Linked DNA regions of Drosophila melanogaster. The protein of the gene in region 1 purifies or fractionates together with the protein of each later gene. This does not show direct contact. Each region holds a gene or a part of one and is shown on either strand. Other genes may lie near its edges.

Region 1 (5,391 bases):
AAGCTTAGCACATGACCATACCTTGTAAGCACAGCTCCTATATTTATATTATTTAGTGATTTGCCTAAGTTGTAAACGTGGTACAGCCAAAGACCCTAGAATAACAAGATGCGTAACGCCATACGATTTTTTGGCACACGATTTTTTGGCCGTGGCTCTAGAGGTGGCTCCAGGCTCTCTCGAATTTTTGTTAGAGAGCGAGAGAGCGAAGAGCGCTACAGCGAACAGCTCTTTTCAACGCACAAAGTGATAGCAGACATCTGTATGTGTGCACACGTATTCACATGCATTGTAAATTTGACAAAATATGCCCTTCACCTTAGAAGTTCTTTGGCTTTAAATCTATATTATTTTTTATCAATTGGCACCATGCGAAAAATTCTTGTTTTGCATTGCCTTAACGTTATTATTATTTGAAAATAGATTAGAAATAGTCAAATCTATGTACATATTATCACAAAAATAAATTTCAAAAATGAATTTATATAAGAATATTTGTCATTAGAGTATTCATCTTGCGGCGTGTGAAAAATTAATAAGGCAATGATTGTTGAGTGCTTGTGTCCGCACTTCGTGCCTCAAGATATGAACAAAGCAAAGACACTAGAATAATTCTATTGTCTTTGATATTACTTTTGCAATTTAATTTAATTGCATATTTAATTATTTAGTATATTTATTAAATCATTTGACTTAATATGATGTAACATTAACATTAAAAGTGTTTCAAAAAAAATATTTCGGTTTTAAAAAATTGTCAGATGAGAGACAAATTAGAATTAAACATAAATACAAATGTGTAAACGGTAGCTAATTCGAGCGGCGATTTTAACAAAGAAATTTAAAAAAGCTTTAAAATTATAATAGCCAGGGCGCGAATTTTTAAAAATTTTTTATTTTATCATATTGCTAGGAAATTGGCAAAAACTACCCTAATATGTACCATGTAAATTCGTTTCTTCGATCAGAATTGATTTCGGCCCGAAAATCGTCTTCTAGCACAACACGCACACTTATACGCGTTCTCGTCTCTTGTTTTTACTCACACAAGCAAGCAAATTATATTTTTAGATTTCTTACGCTCTAAGCGGGAGTGAGCGGAAAGAGAGTAATTTTGGCCGTCACCAAAAAAGTGGCTGCATAGTGCCAAACCAATGTATGGCCGTTACGCATCTTGTTATTCTAGTGTCTTTGGTACAGCCTAGTATAGTATGGTAAATGCAATTTATTTTTATTTAGAATATATGAGTGTTGTATATGTAGATAAAAATGTTAAGCAAGTTAGTAAGGGCACCTAGGCACTCCTCCGGGGTTTGTGAATCCGTTGGTGTTGACCAACCTGCAGATGTCCTTGTATGACCGCGCCGATTTTGCAGGCCTTTCTGGCTGTGGCTGGGAATAACCTCTGTTGTAATAGTCAGGATAGAACTGGAACCAAGAAGGCCTGTGGTAGTTGTAGTCGGGAAAAAATTCTTTAAGCACAGAGCTGCTGCAGAATCTGCTTAGCCCCAGAATCCACAGCAGAATGTATATAATCGACTTGCGCATGGCCACTTCGCCTGAGCTTAAGATTTGGAATAAAGCCGTACCCGATTCTCATTGTATACGCCTGGCGCACTTATGAAGCTTGTGCGACCTCGCACACAGTGGGAAAGTAATTGGAATCTGAAATCTATGCGTGATTGTCGGAATAGCTGATAGCGGGAGTGTTCGCGTGCCCCAGCTCAATGCTATCGTTATCTACAAACCATTCGGCCTTTAAATTGATGTATGATGAAAGTTTATTCAATGTGTGGTTTTTGACGTTTAATAAGAAAAATTCGATTTTGAGAAATGCATTTAAAATGCAATTTTTATTTATCGCAGTGAAGAATAAAATAATATATTTTTTCATTATATTTGTTACCAATTTAACAAAAATATTATGTAGTTGCTTTTTTAAAAGTCTTTCGGGTCAATAAGAAAAAAAAAGCTTACAAACAGAGTATTATGTTCTAAGGAATAGGACCTAAAAACCCTCATTACCTAATTGGTGTTTCAAAAACAGGTTTATGTGGTGCAAAAGGACAAATTTTGCTAACAAAAAAAAAAAAACACTTTTTTAAAAAAACTAACTTACAGGCGCCTAAAAAAAATTATAATCGATTTGTCATCGATTTTTTGGTCTTTAAAGTACTATAGCGGCGCATTATATACTAACCAAAACGAGTTGGCAGCACTCGTGATGTTTTGATTGAAAAAACAAATTAGTTTATTGTTTTTATCTGTTGTCGCCAAAAATATTATTTAAATCAATATGAGCACCGCCGTAGAAGTGGCTAACACGGCTCCGGAGAAGTTGGCCAACTACTTTGCGCTACAGTCGGCGTTTGAGGTAAAACGTTGATGAATGGCCCCGAAACCGGCAATGTTCCGATCTGATAGAAAATAATAATTTTCAGAAAGCCCTTGAATTGGCCATCACCGACGGCAAAGTGGAGCTGTTGGTCAAGGAGTACAATAGATTCCCGGCCAACACCGAGCACGACAAGCGCTTACCCATGGACCACGCGTTCCGCGTGCTCCTGATGAAGCGGCTGGACGAAGATGTGAGTCGCATTGGAGAGCTTGTACGCCTCTCCGTGGAAGCCACGCGGGCCGAGATTGTGTCCAACACCATACCCGTGGTTCTGCTGATCGACACCTTCGACGTGGTCACTCTGGACAAGTGCCAGAAGATATTTCAGTTTGTCGAGGATATGGTGGAGGTGTGGAAGGAGGAGATCTTCTTTTCCTCATGCAAGAACAACATTCTACGCATGTGCAACGACCTGCTGCGTCGACTTTCGCGCACCCAGAACACCGTCTTCTGTGGCCGCATCCAGCTTTTCCTCTCAAAGTTCTTTCCCTTTTCGGAGCGGTCTGGCCTCAACATCGTCTCCGAATTCAACCTGGACAACTTTACGGAGTACGGTCTGGACAGCAAAGACCACGACGAAAGCGACAACAAGGAGCTGGAGGATACCGCTGAGGACATCCCCCTAAAGATCGACTACGACCTGTACTGCAAGTTTTGGTCGCTGCAGGACTTTTTCCGAAATCCCAACCAGTGTTACAATAAGCCGCAGTGGAAGATGTTCCAGATGGTAAGCAGTGGCTTGGCACAATTACAATTGTAGAATATATATATATCTTGGAAAGAGATCAAAGATGTTTGCCAGCTAGCTTGCTCATAAATATTGGTTATTAATAATCCTGCCCCATGTTGGTTCATATTCATATATTGTTACTTTCCCCTTCCAGCACGCTGACAACATACTACAGTCCTTCTCGAGCTTCAAGCTGGAAGACGTGCGCCAAAGTAGCAACGAAAATGCGAGCGGTACTGACCAAGCAATGGATGTGGACGAGGAGGCAGTAGACACCACGGCGGTGTCTTCCGTCATCAAGGCGAATCACTTCTTCGCCAAGTTTCTAACCAATCCCAAGCTTTTGGCTCTGCAGCTCTCCGACGCTAATTTTCGACGTGCTGTTCTGGTGCAGTTTCTAATTCTATTTCAGTACCTGCAAGTCAGTGTAAAGTTTAAAAGGTTCGAATATGAAGAAAGTCCAGGGAAAACGAACAAACTTTAATGATTGTACTTTCAGTGATACTCAAACCTTGACTGCAGACCAGGCGGACTTTATCAAGGAAACAGAGTCGCGTGTTTATAAGTTGCTAGAGGAGACACCACCGTACGGTAAGCGGTTTTCACGGACAGTGTATCACATGCTGGCCCGCGAAGAGATGTGGAACAACTGGAAGAACGAAGGCTGCAAGGAATTCAAGAAGCCCGAGGAACCAACTCTCAGCGAAGAGGACTCGAAGCCAACTCCCAATAAAAGACCGCGCCGTCCATTGGGCGATGCACTGCGCGATGCTTCCCGCAGCGGCAAGTTTTATTTGGGAAAGTAAGTATCGAACGTAAGTCAAACTAAGCCAGTTCTAAAATATTTCACTTCCAGTGACAACCTAACACGTTTGTGGAACTACTCTCCAGATAACTTGCAGGCCTGCAAAAGTGAACAGCGAAACTTCCTACCGCTGCTGGAGACATATTTAGAAACGCCGCACGAAAAGGTTGATCCCGCTTTTGAGTGGCGAGCTCTGCGCTTGCTTGCCCGCCAAACACCGCACTTCTTTACGTCGCTCTCTCAGCCATCGAGCAAGATCTCCGATTATCTTGAGCAAGTGCGCAAACGTCTCATCCGGGACAAAGAGCCCAAACCTGCTGCCCTTTTATCGAACAACTCTTCTGAGAACAATTTTGGCCTGTCGGTCAACAACGTTCATACGGAGGGCGAGCAGGATGCTACGGTCGCCCTTCAGGACGGTGAACCAGAGCAGGATCTTGAAGTAGAGGACAACGAACCTGTGGTGGAAGAGGTGGATGAGGTACCGGCGCACGAGAAACCCCTTATGGTTACCAAAGAGCATATCGAAGAGGTGGCGCCCCTTATAGGCGAGCCATGGATGAAGGTGGGAAAGAAGATTGGCTTCACCAACGATGAACTTCTCTTCTTTCAAATGGAGCATCCTACGGCGAACGTGGCCTGCGTTAAGATGCTGACAAACTGGATATCCGATGACGACGACGCCACCCTGGAAAACTGGGCGTACATGCTAGAGGGATTGGAGATGAATAAGGCCGCCGAAGCGGTGAAGGCGATTATTGAGCGCGAAAAATCTGGATCCACTGCCGCCTTCTGCCTCCGGTAACGACGATGAGGTGCTCTCTGATTAGCATCATCCCCATGCCGATCCCACCCTAGTTATTATAATTTCGTTTCAATCATAAAACTTCTTTATCACAAGTAAAAGAATGGGCGAATATCTATTCCCAATCACCACTCAACGCCTCTTGGCCGGCGGACCGTTACGGGGCTTGTTGTGCACCATGTTAACGCACTTGGGGATATGACGCTCCGCAGCCTGTTCGTTGAATCGGCGACCACAGTGGGGACACTGGACATAGTCTGGATTCTCCGAAGGTGGCGGTGGTGGCAGGTCGCTCAACTTGCCGCCGCGCGCCAAGTGCGCCTTCACCTGCTTGGCCGCTCTAATCGACTGAATGAAGTCCTCGTGCTTCTTACGCCAGTTGTTCTTCTTCACTCCAGTGGTCAGACCCTTCTGCTGGGCAGCACTACTGTAAGTTGAACGGTTGCGATTGCCCTTCGACTTCATATTGAACGCCGCGGCCTCGGTGCCCTCGATCCGCTGCTTGGAGGCATCGAATATCTTGCGTTTGGTGGTCAGCATGCGCTGGCACACCTCCTCGTGCTTCGCCAGACGATCCGTGTTGAAGTGGCGTCCGCAGTAGCGGCATAAAGCGGTGCCCTCTGGGATTGCAGTCGTTGTGTCCTGGTAGCGAA
Region 2 (5,415 bases), on another chromosome or scaffold:
CGAAAAAGGAATCGCACAGGTCCTGGCCAATCGAACCGATTATGATTTTGGTAAGGAAATCGTACTTTTAAATGGACTTAGTTAAATCATTACTTTTATAGGAACTGTACACGGTGACGACTACTTTTTGATATTCGAAAATTTCGTACGAGATGTGGAAATGCGTCCGGATGAGCAGATAATTTCGAGAAATTTTATCAATATGCTGGCAGATTTTGCTTCGAGTGATAATGGCTCTCTAAAATATGGTGAATGCGATTTCAAAGATAATGTAGGTAGTGAGAAATTCCAATTATTAGCTATTTATATTGATGGCTGCCAGAATAGGCAGCATGTGGAATTTCCGTAAGTTACATGAATAAAATCAAAAATTTTTCGTTCTGTGTAATTTTTAATTATTTAATTATTCTCAACTGGCTTTAAATATCATTTGTACAAAACGTGTTTGTCGCTTTATATTTTGGTTTTTGTTGTTTCTTTATAAAGAATAATAAACGTTTGTTTACCCGCAGTTTGATTAGTACTTTGTGGAGTTCCAGATCATGAGTATATTCAAACGGCTGTTGTGCCTGACTTTGCTGTGGATAGCAGCTTTAGAATCTGAAGCTGATCCCTTGATTGTTGAGATAACAAATGGAAAAATCCGTGGCAAAGATAATGGGTTGTACTACAGCTACGAATCGATTCCCAATGCCGAGCATCCAACTGGTGCCCTCCGTTTTGAAGCACCTCAGCCGTATAGTCATCATTGGACTGATGTTTTCAATGCCACGCAGTCTCCAGTTGAGTGCATGCAGTGGAATCAGTTTATAAACGAAAACAATAAGCTGATGGGTGATGAGGATTGCTTAACGGTAAGCATCTATAAGCCAAAGAAACCCAATCGGAGCAGCTTTCCTGTCGTAGTACTCCTGCATGGAGGTGCTTTCATGTTCGGTAGTGGATCCATATATGGACACGACTCCATTATGCGTGAGGGAACTTTGCTTGTGGTAAAAATAAGTTTTGGTCTTGGACCATTGGGTTTTGCAAGTACCGGCGATAGACACTTGCCGGGAAACTATGGTCTAAAGGATCAACGTCTGGCCCTACAATGGATCAAGAAGAACATTGCTCACTTTGGTGGAATGCCAGATAATATTGTGCTCATTGGTCACTCTGCAGGCGGTGCTTCGGCTCATTTGCAGCTGTTGCACGAGGATTTCAAACATTTGGCCAAAGGAGCGATTTCGGTGAGCGGCAATGCATTGGATCCTTGGGTCATACAGCAGGGTGGACGACGACGTGCATTTGAACTGGGTCGTATTGTCGGTTGTGGACACACAAATGTCTCCGCAGAACTCAAGGACTGCTTGAAGTCTAAGCCGGCTAGCGATATAGTCTCTGCTGTCCGAAGCTTCCTTGTGTTTTCCTATGTACCCTTCAGTGCTTTTGGACCTGTTGTGGAGCCGTCAGATGCACCAGACGCCTTTCTAACCGAGGACCCAAGAGCAGTGATTAAGAGCGGGAAGTTTGCCCAAGTCCCTTGGGCTGTGACGTACACCACTGAGGACGGGGGATACAACGCTGCTCAGCTGTTGGAAAGAAACAAATTAACTGGCGAGAGTTGGATTGACCTACTCAATGATCGATGGTTTGATTGGGCACCATACTTGCTCTTCTATCGGGACGCCAAGAAAACCATCAAAGATATGGATGATCTTTCATTTGATCTCAGGCAGCAGTATCTAGCAGATCGGCGATTCAGTGTGGAAAGTTATTGGAACGTGCAGCGAATGTTTACTGATGTTCTTTTCAAGAATAGCGTGCCAAGTGCAATAGATCTTCACCGAAAGTATGGCAAAAGTCCGGTTTATTCTTTTGTCTACGATAATCCTACCGATTCCGGAGTGGGTCAATTGCTTTCCAATCGAACAGATGTACATTTTGGTGGGTACATACTTGCGTTTCAAATACTTAAAGCTCTAGCTTTCTTATTATTAAAGGTACTGTCCACGGAGATGACTTTTTCTTGATTTTCAATACAGCTGCATACCGTACCGGCATTCGTCCGGATGAAGAAGTTATTTCAAAAAAGTTTATAGGTATGCTGGAGGATTTCGCACTCAACGATAAGGGAACATTAACATTTGGAGAATGTAATTTCCAAAATAATGTGAACAGCAAGGAATATCAAGTGCTGCGTATTTCACGAAACGCTTGTAAAAACGAGGAATATGCTCGGTTTCCCTAAGGAATAAATGCATTTAAAAAATGTAAACAGTATAATAATGTAATTAAAGAACAAATTTATTACACCTTTATGCCGCCTCAACTGTCAGAGGTTTTTCAATAAGTTCGTCTTCTTCTTCTGGGTCGTTTTCCTCGCCCTCCACATTCCCATACATCTCAATCTTGCTGTCGAGGAAGCGAAAATCCTTGAGGATATGCAACTTGTTGCTGAAACCAGCAATGGAAATGAATTTAATGGGCGATGTTTGCCAAACAGCAGAGTAGCAGGCAGTGTGCTCCACGGGAATATTGGCTTGCAGTACTCCATTTAGAGTGTAGGATTGCACATGATTGTGCTCTCCACCGATTAAGACACAATCGTCCACAAAGTCACATAGATGCACGCGTCCGGGGAAGCTAAAGACACATGTGCTTTCCATGGAACGCAGGTGGAAAATTGAAGCTTTGGGTCCACCACCGCAGAGCAGCCAATCCTCGTTGACAGCCACTGCTCCTATCCATTTGCCCCAATCCGGACGTAACAGATTTGGGTTCTTGTAAGGCTCCAGCATTGAAGTGTGCTGCTGCTGCTTGGTGCTCCACACTCGCACAGTGCCATCCTCGGCGCCAGAGAAGATCTGTCCGTTGGCATTGCCCACCACACTGTGCACGTAGTCTGTGTGTCCGCGGTACTCGCGCTGAATTCGTCCGTCCTCCAAACTCACTTGGTAGATCACTCCGTCGCCACAGCCAGCAAACAGGATGCTATTTTCCGAGTCCAGCCACATGGAGTTCACATCCGGCACTTCGACGGCATCCACTTGCATGGGTATCTTTACCTCCCAGGACCGTTTGGTGGCCAGAGATTCCTCCTCCTCGTTCCATTCCAATCCGTAAATAAGACCCACTGCACCAACTATCAAGAAATCGCGATGGAAGGCCAGGTAATTGATGTCCACATCGCTGCCCTGCGGGAAGATCTTCAGTTTGCCAGGTGGCTCCTCGGAACCCTTGTCCAGTTCTTTTATTCTTCAAAATAGAAAAACAATTAGTTGGGAAATTGCGCCAAATTAAGGATTCTCACCTAAGTACGAAAATGTCGCCAAAGAGATTTCCCGCAAATAGGTACTGTTTAGAGCCGGATATAGCCTGTGCTAGGACATTGTTGTAAGCGCGTTTCAGATCCTTTTGTTTCATATTTTTAGCTAATTTAATTAATTTAACCAAATTGTATCGCTTTGTTTACGCCGGCTCTCTAGAGTGACCGTTCCTGAGCAATATACCAAGAACAGTATATTATTTTTGAAAAATATACCTAAAAGTGCGTTAGTATATTACGTAGCATTCACGTTACGTTCAATTACGTTAACCGTTAGCCAACGTAACGTGGATTTTGAATTTACGAAATAACCTGTTTTCAATCATTCGACATTCTTTTGATTTTGAGGAAATACAATTGAAAACCAATTGTAATTGCAATTGCATGAGCAAAATCGTTCGCCGGAGATTGCAATTCGATTTCCTCATAAAAAATTTCATTCTCCATGTGTCTGCCACAAATTATCGTGTGTGTCAGAAGTAAGAGTGCTCTCCGTAAATGTTTATTTACGATTAATCTCATTAATTGTAAACTGGACAGCGGCCTAAAATCGGAATTTCAGCTTTAATCAGACATGAAGTTCGATGGCATTCAGCTAATTAAATATTTTTTTTTGCATTGTCACAGTGAGAGCCGATATTTAAGAAAGTCTGAGACCTTTCAGACAGGTGAAATACTAGTTGAGTTGACTAATCGCCTTAAAATATGGATTTGTAAACCCATCATGACGTTTAATATTTGACTCCATCCATTCAATTCATGACTTAATAAATTGGATTAACGTGAATCATCAGATGATGATGGAAAAGTCTTCAATATGACGTCAATTTTTGGGGAGATCTTTAAAGTTGAAGAGCGTGCTCGTACCCATGTTTGCCTATAAACAAATGCTGATTGCCCACTTATGATTGGAAAACAATAATAGGCAGCTTGAAATTAAATGGCTATCAACATCAGGTTTCCGTTGTTTACCAATCAAACATAACATAATTTACCTGATCTTTTATTTACCTTATAAATTCTACGATGCTATGGCTTCATCAAAAATTCCATGTTGATGATTAAGAAATACAATACAATATTTTCTACATTAAAATTGATCTAGTCGATGTTACACATAAAATGAAGACTATTGAAATTAAATGTTTCCCATTTAATAAAATACTCTTCCCCTATTAAATATTAAGATTAATACAGAAGTCATGTATTAGCCTAATACAAATTCTAATGTGTGTTGTTGATACACATTTTTCAGCCTGTTGTTCTCGGCCGTTCTAATCGTTCTAATTTATATGCAAATACCTATGGCTTATTAATGTCGAGACAGTCGATTTGAAATTAATTATTTTGGCGCCACAGAGCTGTTCGAACTGTCGCAGCATAATTCACATACTTGAACAAAAAAAAAAAAAAAAAAAACATCGAAAATTCCCCAATTCCCATTAAGGCCCAGAACTTTTGTGGAACTTCTCGTTGGGCGTTTGAAATGCGGTTTTCCGGCTTAATCAATGCCTTATCATATCGAGTTTTTATTTTTAAACGACTGTAGCTGCGCTTCATTTGGCATCATATTAATGGCATGCAAATTTAATTTGACAACTTGACGTATCATGCCAATTTGAAACGAGATTCCAAGACGATTTGCTTTTTTTGACGACTTTCTTAGGTTTTTATTGGACCATTTGGATTGGCATTTCGCACGTGTTTTTTTTTTCTGGGAATTCCAATGTGCTCGGAACCGAAAACAGATACATTTTCAAGTCTGGCTTACTGGCGCCAAAAAGTTTCTTTCAATTTGAGTAACGGCTATCGAGCGATCAAGCGATCAAGCGATCAAGCGATCAAACGATCATCTTTCTTTCTTTTTTCACCCCGACTAATGATAAATGCCTTTGATGAATTTTAGCCAAATTTTGTTTGCTACACAACAGCTCATGATGTAGTCATGGGAGTTTGTTTTTGTGTGGCCCAGTATTTGGTTGTATTTTGGGAAATCCCCAAGAGCCATAAATTTCTTCTAAGCGGCTCTTTCTTCTTTCTATCTAGCTTATTTTTGTTTGCCATACCTCGCTTCCCCTTCGCGAATTAAATTAGATCCAACCGGA

What was found.
Region 2: the proteins of Hpr1 (region 1) and thoc6 purify together in Drosophila melanogaster (affinity purification with mass spectrometry, with the first as the bait; 2 studies listed by BioGRID). This does not show direct contact.

Annotation. Positions count from the first base shown.
Region 1 is NT_033777.3:5,818,238-5,823,628, reverse strand, and holds Hpr1 (Hpr1), read left to right. Parts: upstream 1-2,188; 5' UTR 2,189-2,296; coding exon 2,297-2,374; intron 2,375-2,441; coding exon 2,442-3,125; intron 3,126-3,282; coding exon 3,283-3,569; intron 3,570-3,627; coding exon 3,628-3,930; intron 3,931-3,984; coding exon 3,985-4,738; 3' UTR 4,739-4,835; downstream 4,836-5,391. Other genes in the region: CG46303 (uncharacterized protein), read right to left, coding at 1,282-1,548; CG42675 (uncharacterized protein), read right to left, coding at 4,871-5,380.
Region 2 is NT_037436.4:12,190,196-12,195,610, forward strand, and holds thoc6 (thoc6), read right to left. Parts: upstream 3,494-5,415; 5' UTR 3,409-3,493; coding exon 3,296-3,408; intron 3,241-3,295; coding exon 2,301-3,240; 3' UTR 2,299-2,300; exon of another isoform or gene 2,234-2,298; coding exon of another isoform or gene 1,986-2,233; 3' UTR 1,930-1,985; coding exon of another isoform or gene 543-1,929; 3' UTR 501-542; downstream 1-500. Other genes in the region: Est-6 (esterase 6), read left to right, coding at 1-50, 102-349; Est-P (esterase P), read left to right, coding at 543-1,929, 1,986-2,233. UniProt on the Drosophila melanogaster protein: The THO complex is required for cell proliferation and for proper export of heat-shock mRNAs under heat stress.